3 linked regions of the Oreochromis niloticus genome follow. The protein of the gene in region 3 interacts with the protein of the main gene of each other region in a pairwise test. Links are inferred from orthologs where the notes say so. Each region holds a gene or a part of one and is shown on either strand. Other genes may lie near its edges. The genes, in order: lmo1, kifc3 and sox5.

Region 1 (7,875 bases), on a different chromosome or scaffold from region 3:
TTTATTGGACTTCTGCAAAGAAGAGCTCCACTTCATACAAAGACCCTTCCAGTTTCCCAGACACCAACTGGCTGACGTAGCACACTTGATTTGAACCAGAGCAGGGAAATCAGAGTGCATTAACACTGCATGTAGAAGGCACTAACTGAATGATCCCAGCATTATGTGGCCTCTGGTCTGGCCTATCTGCGTAGTTTGATGCATAATTTGAGCATTAATGTAATTTACATTTTCACACAGTCCCAAAAGTAAACTGATTAGTCGATAGTTATCTACTAATGTGCCAAGAGGACCCACGCGTCACTTGCATCCAGACAGGGACAGGATTACACATGACAAGGTTGGCCTTGCAGGAACACAAAGAGACAAAGCCTGCCAGAAGGACAGACAACAGAGAGTGGTACCACACACATATACACACAAAGTCTAGCACAAAATCTCGTGAGGTAAATGGCTGTCGTTCAGGTTTGCCAGTGTAGCATTTCTTAGTAACTGGATCCATCTTTCTTCTTTGTTTTCAAGGACCTTCAAACAGACCACACCAATAAAGAAGGAGAACCGGAAAGATAAATCGAGAGGATAAAGAAAAAAGGTTCACAGTTATGTTAACGCCAACAAATATGGCTACGCAGACTTTTGAAGGCAGCCTACGTACATTAGTCAATCTAAAATTCAAATTGAGAAACTTATTTAAAGTAGTGCCAGGCTGTCAAATGCATATTATCACAGCAGAGTTTCTTCTTTTTCATTGGACAAATTAGTGCCCTCCTAGATGATAGAAGTGCTTTAGAAAAAAGTGCAACAGAGTTGCAGTCCCATGATGCAACGCTCCCAGTGGTTACATCTGCTCCATTCTTTCATCTTTCTCCATTGTTAGGTGGGAGCTGTCACATTAGGAGGAGAATCGTGGCTCCTTCCCACCCCCAAGTATCCCTTTTTTCCCATTCCAGCAGTTGGCAGGGTGGCAGGCCCATACAAAGGAGCATGCACCAGGAGCACAGAGGGGAGCACCGTTAGAGGAAAAACAGTTTGGGAATTAAGGTCATTAATTTTCCACTTTCAAGGGCTGCCACACAGACGGAGATAAAGTCAGCATAAATATTCTGCCGAAGTTTCTCCTGTTTTTCTCCTCTCCCCATTTTCATCGGCAGCCCATTTATCTCCATGCTGTCAATTAGAGGCAAAAGCAAAGAACTAATTAGGAACTGTGCAATTTTAATTAGCTGTTTTGATAATTAAACTAATTGGTTCCCTTGTGTTTCTGCAATGTGTGCTGAGAACTTTTTTGATATCTGGGCAGCAGATTTCCTATCCGCTGGTTAATTAGTCACTTTTGCATTAAAAAGGAGCCTTCCTTAATAGCCTTAATTTGCAGTTGAAAAGAGAATCTACCATCAATAATTTGTGTAATTGGTAACCGTTTGATTGTAATTTAGAGGCACGGCCGGACAGCTCGGCATGTCTAATTCCTAATGACTAGGATTAAAGTTGGATTAACTGTTTGGGAAAGGGATTCACTCTCCCCTCTTCCCTACCCACCAACTGACACCTTGTCTACATGTGATTGGTCATGAAATTCAAATTGACTAGGTGAACAGCAGGGTTTATACTGTTTCTATATGATGAGCATGCCAGGTTACATCAAAAAGATTCCAATAATTATTATTTTCCACACGAGTAAAAGATGAGTAAAAGATGATTAAAAGAAGAGAAGAAAAAGTGTTAGCAATTTATTACGAGATGTGTTAAAAATCAGCTATCAAAGCCCTTTGTGAGCAAGTCTGAGGGGAAACATAGCCGGGATCAGCCACTAGGAGGAGCAGAACCTTAACTCTCAGGGTAACAAAGTAAAGCAGGCCTCACTCTTGAATGTAACTTTATTTGTGTAGTTTTTACAGATTTTCTCTGACTATAAGCACGGCACATTTACAAACAGCACACAAATGTCTGCCTTTAAGTCACAGACCTAAAAACCTCAAGTCACGTAGTGACTATACTCTATTTTTATTTTTCCCTTTTGCAGTGACCTACCAAACCAGTTTTTCCTACAGTACAGAAACAGAAACACGAGGGAAATCACGCCGATGTTTACAGGTGTCAGCAGAATGCCAAAATGCATTCAAATATCGGTGGAAGCTGGAAAAGCCTGGACTAAAAGCATATCGTTCAGCATCTTAACTATCAGGCACTATCTCTATACTTTTACAACACTGAGCCCCGTCAGTGGTCTGATTAAAAAGCACCATTCATCCCACTTAGCCAGAATACAATTAAGGGACATGGCTTTAAAAGCCCAGCCCTGAAGCCTCTCCCCATCCCACATAAAAGGAGCACTCTCCACTGAGCCTTGCCTGTAAATATCATGTTTGATATGAGGTTTTAATCTGCTTAGCCATTCTGAACTATAGAATGGGCTCATCCTCTCTCTGAAACCCCTGTCCAATGGCTGTGTGCCTGAGGACGAATAGGAACACAACACTAGTGTGCTATCTGATTAGGTGGGGTTAATTACAGAGCACTGTTTTGTAGTGGTTGCATTTGAAAGCCGCCCATAAATAGATGGGCATGGCTAATGCATGCTCAGAAATGAATTTTAATTAACTGTGTATCAGAGAGGCCCACTCAGGGGCCTGTTTCTAGTATTTACTGACCTAGCTGCTGGATGTGAAGTAGGAAAGGGTCTGCACCCAAGACAGAGGGCTGAGAGGATGAGCAATACACCGTGGCCTACCTGGAGCATGTATCACAGGTATTATAATTTATAATTGATCATTTTAGATTTATATTAATGAGAACTACCTTTAGTGAGAACCACTGCTCAACTTGTCCGTGACTTCACATATGTTAAAACAGGACTTTATATATGGTCCTGTCAACACCATATAACTCCAAAATCATCACAGACTGATGGTTGGCTAGGAAGCGAAGGCTTTATACTGTAATGCACTCAGTACCCTTTTAGCGTCACTTTTCACTGTGCAGGGCAGTCTGCAAGACAACATGAGCTAAAATGTTCTTCTGGTTGTGCAACCCTGGTATCCAAGGACATGTAGCAGTCACATACATAGTCATAAACATAAAAGATGTCAGAAAACCTTGTTGGAGATGGCATACGTTTGTCTTTTAACATGTGTGAATAAATGTGTGGTAGTGCATCTTTTAATACAAACCTTGATTTTTTTCTCAAACTTTAACAATGTTGTCTTGTTACTTAAACATAATGACATAATTTTATTGTCTAGCCCAAACCAAGCAGCAACAGAAAAGTCAAATATGGCAATAAAATGGATTCAAAAGGGGCTTCCCGGTGTGTTCAAATACGAAACTAAAATATGACGACCAAGCTGGTGACTTTAATATACACGGGCACCTCTCATCTACAAGAAATTTTTCATAGCAAGCAGGGTCTAGTGAAACAACTGTGTCAAATCCACAGGAATCCACAAAATGGTGTTCACATTCAAAACTCAAATGGCTCTCTGAAGTGGAGCCCTGATGATACTGAACCATTCTTCCCATTTCCTTCCCAGTTTTCCGTGTGATTGGATTAATTATGTGTCACTCACTTTGCTAGAGGTCAGCAAACATACATTCTCGGTCATAAGTCATCAATCTATGTGACCGTGGAGATGAAAAGTCAAGCGTGTCAGCCAGAACGCTATACAGAGAAGGATCAGCCCATTGATTTGAGGGCCAACCCAATCTCACCACAGCCTGCTGCGCTGAAAACTGAAATTATCCCTACGGGCCATGTACAGTCAGCTTTATACCTTAGATTTGTAGTGCATGATCACATTAGAAAGGCCTATAAAATGTTTATTTCAAAAGCAGAGCAGGATAATTACAGAATAATAAAGCATGCATAGTTCATCCACTGCAGACTAGTGTTAAAACAGAACCTATAATCAACTCAAAACCGGAGCAGTTTAGCTCGCGCTTCGTCATCAAAGTTTTATCTCACAGATAAGCTTTCACCACGGCAAAGTTACTGAAAATGTGCTCCGAAACAGTTTTGAATAGAAATTGCATTATTATCGCAATTGTTTATTACAATAATTTGCTTATATGGGAGCTAATGATGATATGCCTGGAGGAGGTCTGTAATATGTGTGCAAAATGTAACAGAAGGCAAGGACAGACTGAGCGAGCTCACACCACAGACAGCCTGCTGGCTGCTGACGAACCTACATTATTGTAGCTATACTCCACTCTACTCTCCTAAATGGCTAATCTTTGTTGGATCTCACCCTTAATTGGTTAACAGTCTCCGCAGGGCAAGTGAAAGTGGTGCTATTTAAGGCTCCACCATGAAACAGCAACACTTTCATCTTGGCAATAACAGGCAACAATTATATTACCAGATTCGAAACTGAACCTTCTATCTACCCACTAATCAAAAACGCAGCCCATCTGTTGTGCTGTCTTTTGAAACGACTGTTTATCTGCAGCCTGTATGATAACTGTGTCTGGACACTAATTAACTGCTAAACAGACCACAATTAGATGCTATTTCTATTAAATTCTGCAGAAGAAAAAAAGTAGGGAGAAGGGGGAAAAGAAAAAAAAAAAAACAATGAGCGCGTTTTATGTTTACTCAAACTGTACCAGTGAAGCACTATTGCTCTCCTTCAATGTCTCTCTTCCTCTCTCCCTCTCTCTCATTCTCCCTGAAACATGCACCCGCGTGCGTGCGCACGTGCATCAATACCAACTTAGGTGCATGCGCGCTCTCCTTCTTTCTCCCTCTCGATCGCGCACATTCAGACTGGCAGGCGGACCAGTTACATACACGCACACACACACATACACACACTTTCCCTTAGCTGTGCTTTTGTGTTTTGTCAGAATTAATGAGAAAAGTTCCCTTGCCCTAGGGGTAATTAGTGTCCTTGGAGTTAAATAAGCTAATACTTAGACACCTCTGGCACAAGCAATTATGTTTGTGTATTGAATAATTGATTCAAAGAGGGGGGAAGGGCTGCTAATCAGATCTGAGCATAATGAATTGATTTAATTAACAGGGGAATCCGAGGGTCTCTGGAAACTGCGCGCATTTATTCAGTAGCAGCAGAGGCGAGCGCGGCACATAAACTGGGAGAGAGGCGGCGCGAGTTTGCTTTTAGCAGTTGTCAGATTTGCAATTGGATTTGTTTGAATATAGTTGCCGTTTCGGAGCAAATGAGAACGGGAAAGAGAGAATATTAAGAAGCGAGGAGAGCTCAGCCGTTCAGTCTGAGCGTCTGATCCGACCGTGTGTGCACAGTTACAGATAGGCGACACTAGATTTGTATCGCTTTTCATTGTTTTTGCCCCCCTCCTCCTCTTTTTTTTCTTTTTTTATTCTATTCGCATGGAATTTATCAAGAGCAACCGACGCTGTTTGATCGCTATTTGTTTGCGCTGCACTTCAGTCCGGATAGGGGTTTCTCGTCGTGTTTATCGCCGTATTCCGTGTGTGAATTATTATTGATAGGAGGGAGAAAACGCGCAGACGGCAATTCATCTTTCCAGGGTTTCGGTTTATCGAGGCGTAGTCTAGTCAACCGCGCGTTTCAAAGCCATTTCCAGGAGAAGCTGTGAGCACACCGAGCGGTGCAGCCTGCTGGAGCCGAGGACGGATCGCCCGAGGAAGGACTCCTCGTTCCTCAGGACGATGGTGTTGGACAAGGAAGAGGGTGAGTAACGTCTACCACCGTAGGATGCTATAACCTAGGGAGTAACACGGCAAACTACTGACATTTTACACGCTGAGTGTTTTTTCCCCGTCGCCCCCCGGACCCTGTGCACCGGCAGCCTCCGCTTAACGCTGGCTTTTTCAACCCCATTCAGTCACGATGGGGTCCGGGCGATTTTTTCTCTTCCTCTCCCCTCCTTTTTTTGTTAACTAACAATATCGTATGTGCTTTCTGTACCACGAAGTTGATGCGCTCTTCCACAAAAACCCTACAAATGCCAAACTGCAGTTCAGTTAGGGAGAGTTTATTATAAACGGGATTTGTTTGCAGCTTTTTTTTGTCTTTCTTTTTTTTGACGTGTGAGCCAGAGTTTGATGATACTCCACACAGACTGCAGTGCATGTGGCTCCTCTTTTCTTTCCTCCTCCTAAGTGCTTTTTGCGTCTGTGAAGTTGGCGAGGCAGCCCTTTGACATCACCACGGGATGGGAGATGACAGCAGAGTGCTTTTAACTTGATTGCAAATTATGGATAGCGCCTGTGCAGCGTTCGCTCACTTTCCATCCAAATAGGCCTACTTGCATTACTTATCTATTTCAATGTATTTAGGTTAATGGGTGAGGCAATCTAATTAATTTTAATTTAAATCAAATTCGCCTCTAATGACGTCCCATTTTGGATTAAGCCGATGTTGAGATGTGTGCAGTGCATCCGTCACATTCGGGTCTGTTTAGTGCATATGCTCTGAACACATTTGCACAACCTGATCGAGATGAACTAAAAACCAAGTAGGTGTGTGTTGCATGTCTTTATTCTGTCACTTCTTTAAGAGTATTTTGAGGTCGATTTGCTGACAATACAGACCACCTGCTGGCATGCACGCTGACAGCCACCACAACCATAAAACACTTCTTTTTTCCCCGTGTGTGCGTGTGTGTGTGTGCGTGTTATTTCTCAAAGTACGGGATATTTCTCTTGTACACTCCAGTTTATGCAGGGCTCCTCCTCCTCCAAAAGTAATGGATGCATCTGTGACCCATTATTTATGTTTGAAAATGGATCTTTCATTCATCTTAGAGGAGCATCCTTTCACTTACACATCCAAAAACCAATAAAAGGACTGCGGTAGAGACATAAATTGGTCTGTCTGGCTGAATCCATGTTGTGCTGCTAATGTACTCAAATTAACTCAACTGTAAATTGTCTCCTTTGGATGTCTGTCTTGCTAAAAGTTCCCTATATGATTCATGATTCAGATTGCTTTTAACAGTTATTGGCTAAGCAATATGGTAAATGTACAAGGTGATGCAAATGGCATTAGTGGGAAAGGATGCACAGGAGCATGTAATGCAGTCAATACTACATTAACTACTGATGCCCAATTACAGAACCAGGGAGAGGCTTTTAGGAGCATTAGGACTTGCAGAAAAGCTGAGATCACCTGCTGCTCATTGCCTAAAAGCTTCACCCTTTATTTGCTGGGTCCAACCAGCAGCTCCAGCATTTTGGCCAGGTTGTCAGCAGAGCGGCTCGGGTCTGGTCTCTTTCTCTATGATGCCTCTTAGCGTTTATTGGCTCCAAAGTTATAGGCTTGTCAATTCAACCTTCACGTCTAATGTATCCACTTAGTGCCTGCGCAAACAGATGCGCGCGTTTGTGGCAGTGGAGGTGTGGGTCTAGGTGGCCACATGTGTGTTTATGTGTGCTTGCTCTGCATTGTTGTTTTGGTTTTTTTTGTTAGTTTATTTGTTTTTTGTTTCCTTGATTGATGTACTACTATGCCCGTGTGCGAGTCGCCTAAGTGTTCATATTTCAGTCCGTACGCGGCCTATAAAACAGATCATCAGTGTGTCTGTTCTCGTGTTCAAAGCCAGCGATCCAAGTTGGCAACAAAGTAATGATGCTGCTTGTTTGGCAGACCGTTTTTGAACTCTGACTCCTCTTAGAAAAGTCTGCAACAATTTGTGCTGCAAAAGCAATTACCAGAAACGAGCCTCTGTGACTGATACCAGTTCTTTTCCCACTGCACAAGTTTGTCACGAGTCGAAAATGTAAAATAAAAATTTGTGACGCACCCCTGTCAGCTGTCATTGAAATACTCGTTCTGAATGGTTTCATGTCGGATGCAGATACCTGTGGATACTGTGTGTAAACTTAGCTCCTTACTCTCAGATGATTAGGTCATTATCCTTGTATGTATA
Region 2 (7,301 bases), on a different chromosome or scaffold from region 3:
TTACATAACTGATGTGACCGACGCGCTCGACCCTGAACGCCGTCTCCCTATAAGGAGCCAGAGGATTTCAGACATTTATATCATGTGATTGAATGTCCTGTGACAAACATCAGATTTAACTGGAACCAGCAAACATGAAGCCTCTGAACATCAAAACCTGCATCAACAGGAGCCGCCGGGACCCGTCAGAGTGTTAGAGTTATGGGAAAAACATTTAAAAAGTGACCATATCTGAACAACACTCGTGCCCGCCTGTCCCCGCACATACAGACTACACAAATATGTCTCCTGGGGTTGATTATTACCTGAAGTAAACCAGGGGGACTAAAATAAACGCACAGAGGTAAATGCATGTTCACAAGCAGTTCAAATGACATATTTGCTCCATGCTCTCTAGCGCCTCCGGAGGGTGGGACAGTGAAATCTGAGATCATCCTCACAGTCCGTCCTCTGGCTCAGACTCCACATCTGTCCAGCTGTCAGACTGGTACACACGTCCCGAGCTCATCATTCACGTCCATCTACACAAGTGCAATCAGTTTGCATGACCAGCAGGTGGGGCTGTTTCTGACAGCCGACACATAATTGTTAACTCATACAGGAGCACATACAGGTTCATCACCTGTGAAGTATTTCACACCAGCTTACCTGAGTGTAAAACAAGCGCACTTATAGTTTTAATAGCAGCAAACCGCACAACACCACAAATCTGACAATAAGACCCAAACATGCGTCACAACAGTCCATCACAAAATACACTCAGCAGTAAAAGTTAGCCCTGCTATCATTTTATGGCTATTTCCACAATCAAATAATACCTGTGTTGATATCAGAGCTCCACCAAGTCTGAGTCACTGACCGCGTAAACCCTGCTGAGCTGACCTCTCGTCTCAGACAGGTGATTTTTAAGCCAATCAGAGAGCAGATTTACCTTTGCCTAACAACAGAACTCCCCGTAAAGTTTAATATTTACAACATTTAGTGACATTTTACTGCTGCACTCAGATATGATAACATTTACTGTGCAGCTGTAAACATTCCTCAGTCCGTCAGCAAGTTCAGATAAAAACTGCTGAATCACAGCTTTATGATTATTGAACAACAAAGGGTTGCCTTGTCCTCCCCCGAGGACACGGAAAATAAAATTACCCCACTGTAAGTGAAAGTCCTGCTCTTTAAGCGTTACCCCACAGAAATCACGCGAGTCCCGTCTGTGAATACGTGTCAGGGCCTTCAGTTTGTGTCCGCGTGCAACGAGTCGCTCATTAACGAAAACTGAAGTCTTCACCGAGCAGTCGGCCGGGAGTGTAACTCATACTTTAGGAGCGTTAGTGTGAGAGTTGTATAATCCCTCCATGGACGGGTTTGACCCATGTCTGTTTTACTGTTTGCAGGATTAATCAGGAAATGCAAAGATGAGCGAGACCCGACGCTTCAAAGAAAGGACTCGTTCAATTTTGGTGCCTGCAGGGTTAGAGCCTCAAGCATCCTGTGCTTCACGTTCTCCTCAGTGGGTTTCAAATGTTTAACCTCTAACTGGGCTAACTGGTTAGAAGTGGCTGACTTTTCAAAAATAAGAGCAGCTTGTTCACTAATAAAATCAGTCACTCATGGAGTCGTTCTGTCAGGCTTCTAAATAAATAAATAAATAAATGAATCAGCAAACCGACTTTGCTCTGTGGAAACTTCTGGACAGCAGCAGGATTCAAAGCAGCTCGATAAAAATCACCAAAGTAGATTTCATAAATACTGAAACGTTGAGAACAAAAACACTCCGAGCTCTCATAACTGCCGCTGTGATTTGGGACCATTATGGTTACAGTTTTAACAACATTTACTTCTTTGATTAAAAATAATGACAATCATGTTTATGCGCCATCTTCCTGCACACAGTAGAAATTCAAATTCTGTTTCTACTGTTGGTTCATTTTTTTCCCCCTCATTCAGATTATAGACTGATCACATTTTCATGGAAACAAAATCATAATTTTAAAAAGATTTACTTGTTTAAACGCAGTATTATATTCTATTAGATAACTAATTTGACCAAATTAAAGGTGTAAAAGCTTCAGGCTACAAATGGTCCAGTTCACCTGATGGTCCAGCTGAAGTGAGGCCAACGGAAATAAAGTAAAAATATTTCTACATGCAAACAAATCAGTCTATAACTAGATAAAATAAAGTACTTTAGTTCAAAAACTCATCATGTGACAGTTTTGCAAAGGTCTTAATGCTCATTTTTGTGAAGTCTCTCAGGCTGTACGTCACCTGTTTGATAAATGAAGGGTTCAACTTTACACTCGGAGGTGATTATCAGGGTGAAATCAGGGTGTAAATCCTTAATAAGTGCAAACTCACACTCACCTAAAATGTAACTAAAAGTTCGTATTTCCTTCTAAAATTAGAAGTGCGTCCCCGGTTTCCCAAACTTGTTTTTAAAGTTTTTATGTTTTAATATTTTCAGGAATTAAAACCGCACGCCGTCTGAACCCGACCTCTTCCTCACCTGGACTTGCTTCCTGCTGTTAGGGAGGTTGTGTATGGCCCCTCGCCTCCTCTTCCCCTCAGCTCTGCGGATCATTGATCCATCCACTCGATCCCGGGTCCCGGACACCCCCCAGCACCCGTCGCCTGCGCTCCCATCCTTCAGACGACCTTCCCGTCCCGCGGCCTCAGTGGACCGGTTTTGCTCCGGTTTGTTCCGGTTCTTAATCAGGTTGTGGAGCGTCAGAACCGCCAGGGTGCACAGGACATACATGACCCCTCGCCCCACCCTCAGACTCTAGGGTGCTTCGGGTGGGTGCTTGGTTTCATCACAGGGTTGTTCCAGCCCAGGTGGGAGCTCACAGGTGTCTCGTTTGGGTCCCGCTGAGGTTGACGATCCTCGCTCTAAATGTTTCCTCTAAAAAGGATCAGCTGTTTAAATCCTGCTGTGTTTGTTCACCTCTGTCCCGAACCCCGCCCCGTCAACATCACATCAGATGATAAAAGCTTCTGAACCTTGTCCCGTCCTCCTCACTGCTGTCACGCCAACGGTTATCAAGACGGGTAACCAGAGCCTGCAGCCGCCAGTTTCAGTTTCTCACTGAAACTCAAGACTGTGCAAACGCCTCCTGCTCTGAAGCGAGGCTGCAGAGGCGTGCAGCAAAAACAAAAATCCCCACATAAGAGAAAAGTGATTCGAAGTGCAACACGGACGCAGAGCAAGATGCAAAGTTTCAGCAGAGTTTTCCCTGGAGTGATATTCTGACCTTGAGGTCCACTGCAAGAAAAAAAAAAACCAAAGTTTGTTCTGCAGACCTGCAGGAAAAGCACGAATCCAGCTCCTGCGTGGAGTCAGAGAACTTCTCCTCACAGAGTTTGTGGATGAGCAGCAGGTGCAGGAAACTGTTTCCTCTGTGGCAGGTCGGGTCTTCCCCTCCATCAGACTGAGTGGATCAGAGAAAGAGCTCGAGGGGCCTCCTCTCCTCCCTCCCTCTGTCCCGGGACCATCTGTTGTTATTGCTGCAGGATAAAACTGCAGAGGATCGCCGGTGACGTAACAGCACGACACTAAACGATGGATTTATGTTAATATCTTCAGGATGAGCTACGTGCCGGTTTTCACGTTTAATAACAGTCAGGATTACTTCCAGTTCTTTGATCACTGATCCGTTTGTAGTCACTGCTTAAACTGATCACATCTCTGTAACTTTCACTTTACTGGAGCACTTTTATTCAATAAAGAGACCGTAGAAATACAGAGTACAGTAAACATGACTGCAGCACACTGGTCATAAAAATCTGTAAAGGCTGATTTTTAGAGTGAAGAAAAGCCTTTTATTTTGGAAAGTGCTGTCCCAACTATAATTTTAGATGAGAGAAGACTTTTATTTTGACAGCAGTGATGTTCTAGTTGGTAGAATAGTCCAGAAAAGTTTAGACTTCAGTCTTTTCAAAATTTAAGTATAATTTTAGATCAGAACAAGCGTTTATTTTGGTGACAGGGACAATCTGATTGACATTACAGTCTCATTTTGAATGTGCAGATTGGAAAATCATTAAAGGCTTTTATTGTGGAAACAGTGACCTGCTCATTGTGCCTCATCTACTTTCCCAAAGGCTTTTATTTTGGTAAAGTGAAGGGTTTTAGGTCAGAGTGACCTCTTTCTTTCATGTCGTGGGGATGTCGACCACCTCTCCTAAATAGGTGACATATGTGACAGAGCCGGGCATGCTGGGACTTTGACCCAGTGGGAGCTGACGGTCTGAATCACAGCCACTCAATCCTGACGCTCGCCTCTGATTGGTTGCAGACCTTGCTGCATATAGCAGCGATCCGTCCTGCAGCTCACTGTAAACAGAGCCGGGACAGTTTCTGGAAACGTTCCTGCAAGAACAAAAGGGGGACGTTTCCGGTCCACCGACCCCTTTCAGGACGCTAACGAGGTGAGGGCGGGGCTGCGGTCCAAACTCAGGGTCACACGTTAGAAAAATCTCACGAGGAAGGTCCAGGGGTCATCGAAGAGTTTCCAGAGATCTCAGAGATTTTTAACAGTTCCTGCAGAAGTTCAATGAGCCAAGGAAGACTTTAGTTTTAATTTCTAAAGGTCCAAACGTGCTCCTCAAACACGCAGCGGTTTATTCTACAGCTGATGGTAAACAATAAAGAATGAGGACAGAAGGGGGTCGACTGTTAACGAGGGAGCATGGGAAAACATGCACTCTTAAATTCCGTCCTCACATTTATTTGTAAATTTAGATCAATCCCACTCAGATTTAAGACATTTTTATCGGCTTCGTTACTTTCACGACTGTTTTCTTGTAAATTCAGTTTTTTTTCCCGATCAGTAGTTTTATTTTAAACTCACAGCAGCTCCAAAACAATTTTCTAGCGAGTGTTAGTTAGAAAATCAGTGGATTTTCTTCCTTGTACATTTGTAGTTTTTAAATCTCAGACTTTAAAAAACAAAAACAAAAAACACTGAACTGATTTATTATTTTACCCACAAGGGCTCTAATGCAGAATCTAATATCTGCTCTGTTTTAATTCAATTCAGTTTTATTTACACAGCGCCAAATCACAACAACAGCCGCCTCAAGGTGCTTTGTATTGTAAGGTAGACCCTACAATAATACATACAGAGAAAAGCCCAACAATCATATGACCCCCTATGAGCAAGCACTTTGGTGACAGTGGGAAGGAAAAACTCCCTTTGAACAGGAAGAAACCTCCAGCAGAACCAGGCTCAGGGAGGGGCGGGGCCATCTGCTGTGATTGGTTGAGGTGAGAGAAGACAGGATAAAGACATGCTGTGGAAGAGAGACAGCCTTTCATAGACTTTGATCGACTACGGCTGCTTCAAAGTGGCACGACGACAGTCATCCATGCTGGCTTCCTGACCTGAGCTGTTTGGCGCCTCCTTCCACCAATCACTGAGCTCCGCAGTAAATCAGAATAAATTGCCACTCCGTCAGCAGACAACTGTAACACCTGCTTGAAAGCCAGTTTTTATTCTCTAGCTTTAAACCAGGCTGACTGCTGTTATTGGTATCTTCTTTTATGTTTTTTTATTGTGATTAAATTGTGCTCAGACTGGGACTGTGTGTTAGAGATGAGCGGATTTTCCTTTAGCCGTTTTCTCTAAACTTCAGTCAGAGCCCGAGGAAGAAAATGATGCGTTGCAGAAACAAGAGAAAACTACAGAACGAGATCCCAGCCTGAAACCACTTCCTGTTCTCGAGGTGACCTGAACGCGGCATCAAATAATAACTGATCAAATCAGAGGTATAAAGGCTTCCAGAGAAAGCGGGCTGTGGCAAGTTAATGACCTCAACACGGAGAGGAGTGTCAGTTATCAGATCAGACTCGCCTTTATTATTAGGAACACACACACACACACACACACACACACACACACACACACACACACACACACGCGATGGAAAATGTTTACACACCAAACTGCTGCAACATGATCAGCTGATTAGATAAATGTGGATAAATAACCCGGTGTTTCATTCTCACACCCTCCCTCCACATGAACCTCAGACTTCATGTTTATATCAAGTGAATCACAGAGGAATGTTTACAGATAACAAGGTCAGACTGAGAGGATTCACATGTGTTGTTACTGTGTTTGTCCTGTGGGGGGCAGTGCAGGCATGTGTTCATGTCTCAGGTGTGTTGGTGACTGTAAGAAGCTCAGACCTGCTGCAGATTACCGGAAACCTGCTGCTTTTATTTGAGGAGCTTTTTCCTTTGGAGGGTCATCTGCCCGTCACAGACTTTTAAATTCAGCTTAAAATAATAACGTTTGTTTGGTTTTTGTTTTTGGGGACATTTAGTTTGATATTTTCTTGAAGACATCAGATGAAACCTCAGTTAGTATTTAAAAGAAGACATTTTTGTGACAACTTTGAAGCACATCTGTCCAGAAATCTCAGAGTAGCCCCCACAAACACAGCTGAACCAATCACATCAATCCTTCAGCAAAGTTTTTTTAATAAATGGTTTATGGGCTGCAAACCAGTTCAACACACCCAGGATATTTTTCCTTATCAGGCCGGAGAAGTCTGACCCAGAAATATCAGTTTAGCTCTGAGAGGCGGACTTTCCACAAACAGATTCACTGACGAAGTCTCAGGATTAGAAACTATGAAGAGAATAAACACCCTGCACAGCTGCTGCAGACTGAGAGGACGGAGCTGCATGAAGGAGAAAAAGACGATATAAACAGTTTATTTACAGAAAAGACGGAAAGCAAACCAAAAAAAAAAAACCTGACTCTGAAGATAACGGCCTTCCCGCCATCACAGCTCTGTCATTAAGCAGTGGGAGGATCTGAATGCTGAGCAGTTACACATCGTCTCAAATTAACCTTAGATGTGTGCAGGACGCTCTGCTTTGCTCCTTTTTAAAGATCTTACAGGGAACAAAAGCAGGACCAAAGCGACCTTAAACACGACGTACTCCAGAGCAGGTTGGTCTGCAGTGGCGGTGATCGCGGCAGTAAGAGGGGTTAACCCCGAAGTTACCAGGATGAGCCTCGGTTCAGGATGGAGACCCGGAGCTGGTAACGGTTCTGTTATTGTCACCGAGCGCGTGCGCTCTCATTTATAATTTATTCATGTATCAGGAACAAAAACAGCACATCAGACACGTTTCAGTAAAACCAGAGAAACCAGCACATGAACTGCACTTGTAGGCCGATTTCTACTCTGTAGTCCTGACTTCCTGTCTCCCTCCACCCTCCGTCTTCTTCCCACCTTTTTACTCTTTTCACCACTGCAGCAGCACTTAGAGGGGGGAGGAGGGCGGC
Region 3 (7,909 bases):
ATTTTTAATCCTACAACTGTTCATAACTTGCATAGTTCACATTTCTGTATAACTGTATATCTCATATTTCTGTATAGTTTTTTATTTCATATTCTGTATAGTTTTTCATATTTATATCCTGTTCATAGCCTGTACATAGCTTGTACTCACTACAGCCTGTACATACTTATAGTTATAGAATATTCATAACATACTTCATACCGTGTACATTATAACATACCATAATAGACCCATTTCTGTAATATACTTACATATCTATATTATTGCTAATATATATTGTAATATATCTATATCATGGCTAAAGCACTTCTGGATGGATGCAAACTGCATTTCGTTGCCCTGTACCTGTGACATGTGCAATGACAATAAAGTTGAATTCTATTCTATTCTATTCTATTCTATTCTAGTGGTGTTAGTGAGGTATTGTAGGAGTGATGTAACTCTTTGGAGGTGAAATTACAAAGCAATGCAGACATGAAAATGTGGATAAAGTTAGGTATACCACAACTCATTTTCACAGGGATTTATTGTTTATCCAAAAAACTATTTTGTTTGTTATTGGCTTAAATAAGAGTGGTAAAAGGTCACATAAACCTGAGGTCACTACTGATGGTCAGGGTTTTATTCTGAACATAAAATTTCCACCGATCTTCATCTGCTTATCCAATTCAGGGTTGTGGGGGCCTGGAGCCTATCCAAGCTGTCATAGGGTGAAAAGAAGCATACAGCCTGGACAAGTCACCAATCTATTGTAAGGCTAACGCACAGAGACAGACAACGATTCATGTGACAAATTTAGAATCACCTCATCCATGTTTTTGGACTGTGAGAGTATCCGCAGAACATGCAAATTCCCCACAGAGAGGCCCCAAGCAGAAGTGGAGCCCAGGACCTTCTTGCTGTGAAACAACACTGAAAACCAAAACCAGCCAAAACTAGAAAGCCAAGCTTTTCTCACTGTAATCAAACAATTTTAATACTGAATAAAGCTGCCCTTCAATCACTGTCTTGTAGATAATCGTGTTACTATGATTGTCCTAATTTGAAAGCTTTGACATTAGCTCAAGTCCTGTGCTAAACCATTTTCCCTGCTGCCCTTCATTCTGTAAGCCTATGGAGTTTGATTAAAGCCATCAAAGTGGATGCATAATTTAGACGAACGTGGCAACCAAACCAAATGACAAACTCAGCTAATTCTGTTATAGCAAAATTACTGATAGCAGCTTCTAGGAAATGAGAAACAGCCATAAAAAAGTAAAATAAACCCAAAATATTCTGCTGAAAACCTTGAACAATTAAAGATTCAACTGAAGCTGATTCCCCGCAAATGCAGAACTGACGGTTTTCTTTGTTCACCAAAGAAAAACAAATGTACAACTCATGCACGTGTAATTTTCTAAATCCAGTATAAGCACAGCCCTTTAAGAAAAGTTTTCCACATGCTTGCTGATAGATACAATTAATCCCACACAGACCCACAGTGTCAACAAAAACAAAAGCCACGGGCAAAATGTAAGTATCTATAGAAATATTACAGCATTAGAGAACTACCGCTCTCTCTCCTCCGCTCGTCCACCATCCCTCTCCTGCTTTTTGAGAGGCAGGGCGGTGATTGGCGGAAAAAAGCCTCCCTCAATCCAATCCCTAATCCCCAGCAGGCTTTTAAAACATATGACTGGAGGAGGACCAGCGGCGGCTCTCTCATGCTGTCCTCTTCCAAGCGATATTTTCTCTGTGCTGTAGCTGCAACAGAAGCAGCCGTCACAGAAGAAGCGAAGAGAAGCTGTGCGGTGGGGGTTTAAAAATTTAAAAAGGTGCTCATCCATGACTGTGTACCCTGTTCTGCACACTCTGAGCCTTGGAGAGCAAAGTCGCACTGCCAGGGTGCCCTTATTGTCTTCGCTTCTGCAACTTTGACTGCATGGTGGGAGGTATCCCTAGCTCTTTAACGACTTACCGGATGCTGCGCTGCTGAGGAGCCCGTCTTTCCTGTGACTCCCGTTCTCCACTGGTCTCTCTCACTGAAAGACAGGGAGGTGATGGAGGTCGGTAGGGGGGTGAAAGACTGCTGCTGCCGCCGCTGCTGCTGCTGGTGATGGTGGTTTGGGTGCTCACATTGATTTGTGTCACTTCTCTGTCTCTCTCTCCCTCTTGCCACACCACCTCTTTTCCACTCTCTCTCTTCACTTCACTTCACATTACACACACATGCATGCACACATACAGGACAAGATTTGGGCAAATTACACAAAGCTGAGACACTAAGGGCAGGAGAAGTCCATTTGTTTCCTCTTCACAACAGCTACTCCTCAAGTCAAGACATTTCTCTTACCAAGAACTAACTATTAAAAGTCTACAACTGATGTGCAACCAGAAGGTAAAATCTAAAACATAGGAGGTAAAATCTGACCTGAAGCTGTAGACTGTCAAGAGGAATAACTTTAAATGTGCCACTATCATAAGTTGTAAAACACTTCAAAACCACAAGCTTTATATTCCATCTGCCTCGGTCACCCTTAGAACCAGGTTTCTGCCAGCTACAGTAAGTACGGCTCCTTTGAATGACTACCAGGCTAGCAAGTAATACCAATTTTAAATGTTGCCTTGTAGTAGGTGGGTTTACTCAAAAAAAAAAAAAAAAAAAAAAACCCAGACGTGTAATGTAAAATCCTCAGTGTCACCTGCCCTGCACTAAACTGCGGGGGAGAAACCACACCTTGAGCCGGAATAGTTGCAGTCAGTCATTTAAATGATTTGGTGACGTTTACATTTAGCCCGAGGCTAAACTTTGACCTACAATGAAAGCAAGCTAGTCCAAAAATGGGATATTTTCGCTTAAAAGCAGTTGTGGCTACTATTTCTTTTTTTAGTACGTCTACTGCTCTCGAAGTATAATGGTCAACTTTCAGAATAAAACACTCACCTTTAGAAAGAAAAACAAGAAAAAGAAGAAAAATGTTCTCACACCTGTTAAGCTCGCGAGGACCTTGACTAAACTGTCTAATTTGCATACATCGCAGTGCCACTCTCCTTCTTCCCCATTGGTCCAAATCCCTCTTTCCTAGTTCACTCATTGGCTGATTTAATTCAGATTTTTCATTTTTGAAAATGACATCGCATACTTAATTTAACTTGAACTTGAACATTGGAAACTAAGTAAATTTGGCAGGCGGTAAATATTGGGGGTTTTCTTATATGTTACGTAGCCTTTTTTATGTGGTGCCGAAATTAATTAAAAACTGGTCCTCGTCCAGACTGCGAAAATTCACATGAAGGCCAGAAAAGTGACTCAATAAGAGGAGAAACGTTTGCCACATGGTTTGTGAAGTAGAAGCCAGACAGAAAAATATATCAGGCAAAAATAGGACATGTTTTTGCCTAGATAACCTGTTTGATAAGACAATGGTATTTGGTTGTAACCATTAGCTCATGTCAATGAAATTGGGACAACTTATGCATTTATTAGACTTTGATAACTTGTGAAATAAAGCTAATTATTTATCATACAGTACTGTGTAAAAGTCTCAAGGCAAACTAAATTTCTTTGTATTTTGTTTTCAAAGTACCTTCTTGTAAGTTTTTTTTTATGCTCTTGAGCAATATTTCTCAAGGATTTCTGAGGGGTTTTCAAAGTTTGGACATTGGCTGCTTTTTCACTCATTTTCACTCCAGTCCTTGTATCTGACCATTTTCAGAGAAGTGTTTTAAACACTGACCTATGAATCATTCCAGTGTCAAAAAGACACCTAACTCAAGCAGTGAACCAATGTTGTGTCTAGACATGGCAGATAATTTAGCAAATAGCCAATTTTAAATAGCATCTGTAGGCACCTTGTTGCTAGTAGTTTGTTGCAAAAACACATAATTTGTATCCATTTCTTTAGCTGAATCTATGAAAAATACCAAAGATAAGACAATTAGACAGGCATGTGTTTGTGCACCAACATTGTGATTCCCAAATGCATTGAGTGAAAATGTGGGATATATTGGCAGGTTGTCCTTTAAAGCAATTGAGGAAACTACATGCGTTCACCATCCAAAGAAGAGCTTTAAATGTTCCTCAGCCTGGAGAACTAATTCTAAAGACTGCTTAAAATTACAAGAAAGCCTGCTAAGGTGATGATACCAAATACTGAATTTCAAACTCATTATAATTGTACAAACTATGGTTAGGGCTTAAAAACTGTACTTTGCACATGTTTCAGTCAATCAATGGATATTGATCACATACTGTGATTTCATTTCACAAAATGACAGCATGAAAACACCCCATGAAGATTCCATATGGGTTCACACTGCTCCCTATCTTGAAAATCATCAGATAGTATTCAAATAAGAAGAGACTCATGACAAATGCACAAATGGACTAGTCTGATTTAAAGTTTGAGCCACAACTTTTTGTGCTATTGTTTAACACTCAGCCAAAATTTTTTTTAAAATGGCAATAACTATAACAATAAATGCATGCTGGGCACAAGTCAAAATTATTCTGCGGCTTTCTAACAGGGTTAGACCACATTTGTGATGCTACATTAACAACTGCATAAGCCGTTAAGTACAATTTTCCTGGATGTGAAAAATGTTGGCACCCACCAAAGAGATAATGACCATTCACCAAAGGAGAATCACCAGTACTGTGATACAAATATTGCCATTTTTTAAATGTTGAATATGATTTTGTATAGCCATAAACAACAGGCAAATGTGCAGACTTACATCAAGTAAATTAACACAGACTTGTTTAAACAACATGCATAGCCAGTTGTGCTTAGTTCAGTTTTATTGATACACCACTAAATCACAACAAAAGTCACTTCAAGGCACTTTATATTCTAAGGTAAAGGCCCTACAATAATAAAGAGAAAATCCCAACAATCAAATAACCTCCTATGAGCAAGCACTCGATGACAGTGGGAAGGAAAAACGTCCTTTTACCAGGAAGAAAACTCTGGCAGAAGCAGTTTCAGGGAGGGGCGCCGATCTGCAATGACCTGTTGGGGGCTTAAGCACATAATAACACCCAATAAACACCCATTGTTAGCCAGGAAAAACCCTGCTGTTCTTTTAAAGTAGCGCCTTAAAGCAACTGTTCCTGGGATTTGGCTCTATATAAATAAAATTGAATTGAACCAAATAAAAAAAAAAACTTCTTTTGAGTAGTTTGACCGATTTATCTCTTTGTCTTTTTTTTCTCCAGGAGTGCTTCTGATTGATGTAGGGTCTTTTCTCAATTATGTTTTACTAAGTCGCCCAATCAAAGAACAATATGTAGGTAATGGCATCCCCCTGCTGATACTGACTGAGCTGGGAGCTGCTGGAAGACTGGGCGCCACAACCAAACAGGCATCAGACACAGGGCTTCTTAACCAGGAAGGTAAGTAATGACCGAGCTGTAGCTCATAGCAAGAAGGTGGAGTCAGTGATAAATAGTCAGTCTTTCCCTGGAGTCTGAGAGAGCAAGGTGCTCACTGGTCATTCACAAATGCAGATCAAATCAAAAAGGGGGAGAAATGGGAAACATCATTTTCAGGTTCTCAAGAAAATATCACAAGCTAATACAGAGCAATCACTGCCCAGCATCTAACCAAATTTACTCACACTCAGTGGTTAAAATCACATATTATTTGCCGTTGTCAGACCTCGGCTGCTTTACATGTATAAAAGGTTTCAGCCTATTTTGCACCATTAAAACATGAGTGAGCGGGTATCCTGTGAAAGAATGCCTTTCTCTGCAAATGCACAACACAGGAAGGACAGGCTGTACAGTACTCATTAAGTCTCTTGAAGTCTTTAAGGGTGCTACCAGCCTGCAGCAAAAATCCATTCACAAATTTTCTACTCTCATTTTTGTTAAATCGATAGTAACAGTCTACTGCCACGCTGGAATATTCTTCATCCGGACAAACAATTGTGATGTAAGTTGTTGGTATTGATTTAATCATTAAAAGGGTCCAAAAATATATACTTTTTTTTCTTAAACATATTTTTGGGATGCAGAGACTTGGAAAAGCTTGGCGATATCATGGTGGAGAGGACCGATCAATAGACACTTTCTGTTGTTTTCTCCTTTATTTGCCAGCCATCTGTAGCTCCCAGATAAGCTTCCCTGTCTTGCACTTAGTAACAGCATATTTTATAAAATATGTTAGCGTTTAAGCATTTCACATTGATTAGCGGGATCTACTTTTTCCTTTGTGATGGTCACCAGCTGCGAATTGTCTTTTTTTTCCAAGCTTCTTATTTGCTGTTTCACTCATCACTCATCACTGTTTCACTCAACCAAAATGATTCACCCTAAATCACTGTTACCTCGCTCTCCATCCATGTATGCTTAGTTGTTTCTAATGTGCGTCCCGCTGCCCACTGTACCTTGTAAATGCCACAGTATGCCTTTGCAGAGGAGAAAGAGGGCTCAGGGGCAATCAGCAGAAGCGTGGGGGCAGAGCGGATGCGCTTCAAAGGCTGTCAAAACTATATTATATGGTTGATCCCTGTCCAATTCACTTTCACAGTTCAATAGCTGCTGTATGTTAAAGCTGAAAAACAAAGACAATCATTGGTGTCTCATCATTCTAAAGTTAGCGCACAAGAGGCTTTGTCTGTGTGTGTTAGGGAGGAGGTTGGGGAGGCGGTCAAACAAGGGAAAGTCTAAGCAGAGTGACCGCATAGGTCAGGTTTGACACACTTTATTATTCATTCACTGTCTGTCCTCAGCTGTGCTTAGCTCATCAGCGCGCGCGCACACACACACACACACACTCACACACACACACACACACACACACACACACAGAGTTTCCCCTAGGTGCGGCTTTTACTGCACATATGCGCCTGGACGATGCACAAATGTCAAGAGCAATAACTGGGATGTCACTCCAAATTCACTCTCCTCTCTTCAGTGTTTAGCAGCTAGGTAACTCAGGGATCTGTCTTTCTCTCTGTCTCTCTCTCCTATGGTGTGAGTGTAGTTCTACATACGTGTGAGTGTGCCTGCGTGTGCCCTAACGTCTGAAGGTCTATGATGTTTTTGTTTTTTCAGTTCAGTTCAATTTACCTTCAGGTGCTTGAGGATGACTGCTAAATTATCAATATTATTACAGTATAAACATATAATCATTTCTCTATTTTAAAGGTCCCTTGTATCTTTAATATCACAGCTAGAAATTTTAACCACCATCATCCTGTAAGTCTTTGTCTTCTTAATGCCAACAACAGTATTGCAAAAAAAGTTGTAACAGGGACAACAAAAGACTGCAGAAGTTGTATGATGATTAAAAAAAGAACCAGTAGTTCGAGTAGGTATTTTAGAAGTACATTTGTACCTAGAGTATATAGCACATTTCTAAAGTGCTTAAGCCTTACACATACAATAATACTTTTATTGTATGCCTAAGCACTTTGTCTAATGTTCATGCACACTGTCATAGTCTGATGAATGCATGGAGGCACTCCCAGTTTAGTATATTACCCAAGGATACTTTGACATGCACACTGGGATCAAACCACTGACTGTCTAGTTAGTAGATGACTTGATGCCATTCTGGTTGCAGTGTCACAGGTTGCAGATTCCTGATTTGAACCCGGTTGTGTCTTTCTGCATGCTCATCCTGTGCCTTTGTGGGATTCCTCCCAAGTGTTCTGCTCTCTGCTCAGTATCCAAAGACACGATCATTGTTGGGTTCTCTGTTAGCCCTGTGATAGAACGAGGCCTGCGCTCCAAAGCAGGGTTTTGTCTCATCTAAGCAACTTCAGGATTGACTCTGGGTTTTCTGTACTACAAAGGTGGTTCACCTTTTTAATGGGTATCACCACAGTAACTTATGCTGTGAACCTAACCTGCTCCTTAGAGGTCAATAGGTAAAAATTCACCTATTGACCTCTAGCAGAAAGTTCTAACACTTTATTCTAA

What was found.
Region 1: the proteins of sox5 (region 3) and lmo1 interact in binary tests that used the Homo sapiens proteins (3 or more experiments, as listed by UniProt). The two-hybrid records come from large-scale screens. The link is inferred for Oreochromis niloticus from reciprocal best matches to the Homo sapiens genes SOX5 and LMO1.
Region 2: the proteins of sox5 (region 3) and kifc3 interact in binary tests that used the Homo sapiens proteins (3 or more experiments, as listed by UniProt). The two-hybrid records come from large-scale screens. The link is inferred for Oreochromis niloticus from reciprocal best matches to the Homo sapiens genes SOX5 and KIFC3.

What each region holds. Positions count from the first base shown.
Region 1 is NC_031965.2:20,035,869-20,043,743, reverse strand, and holds the start of lmo1 (rhombotin-1), read left to right. Parts: upstream 1-4,791; 5' UTR 4,792-5,653; coding exon 5,654-5,675; intron 5,676-7,875. UniProt on the Homo sapiens protein: May be involved in gene regulation within neural lineage cells potentially by direct DNA binding or by binding to other transcription factors.
Region 2 is NC_031965.2:37,985,328-37,992,628, forward strand, and holds the start of kifc3 (kinesin-like protein KIFC3), read right to left. Parts: upstream 3,050-7,301; 5' UTR 2,759-3,049; coding exon 2,507-2,758; intron 1-2,506. UniProt on the Homo sapiens protein: Minus-end microtubule-dependent motor protein. Involved in apically targeted transport. Required for zonula adherens maintenance.
Region 3 is NC_031981.2:4,135,713-4,143,621, reverse strand, and holds the start of sox5 (transcription factor SOX-5), read right to left. Parts: upstream 3,027-7,909; 5' UTR 3,012-3,026; coding exon 2,968-3,011; intron 2,192-2,967; coding exon 1,958-2,191; intron 1-1,957.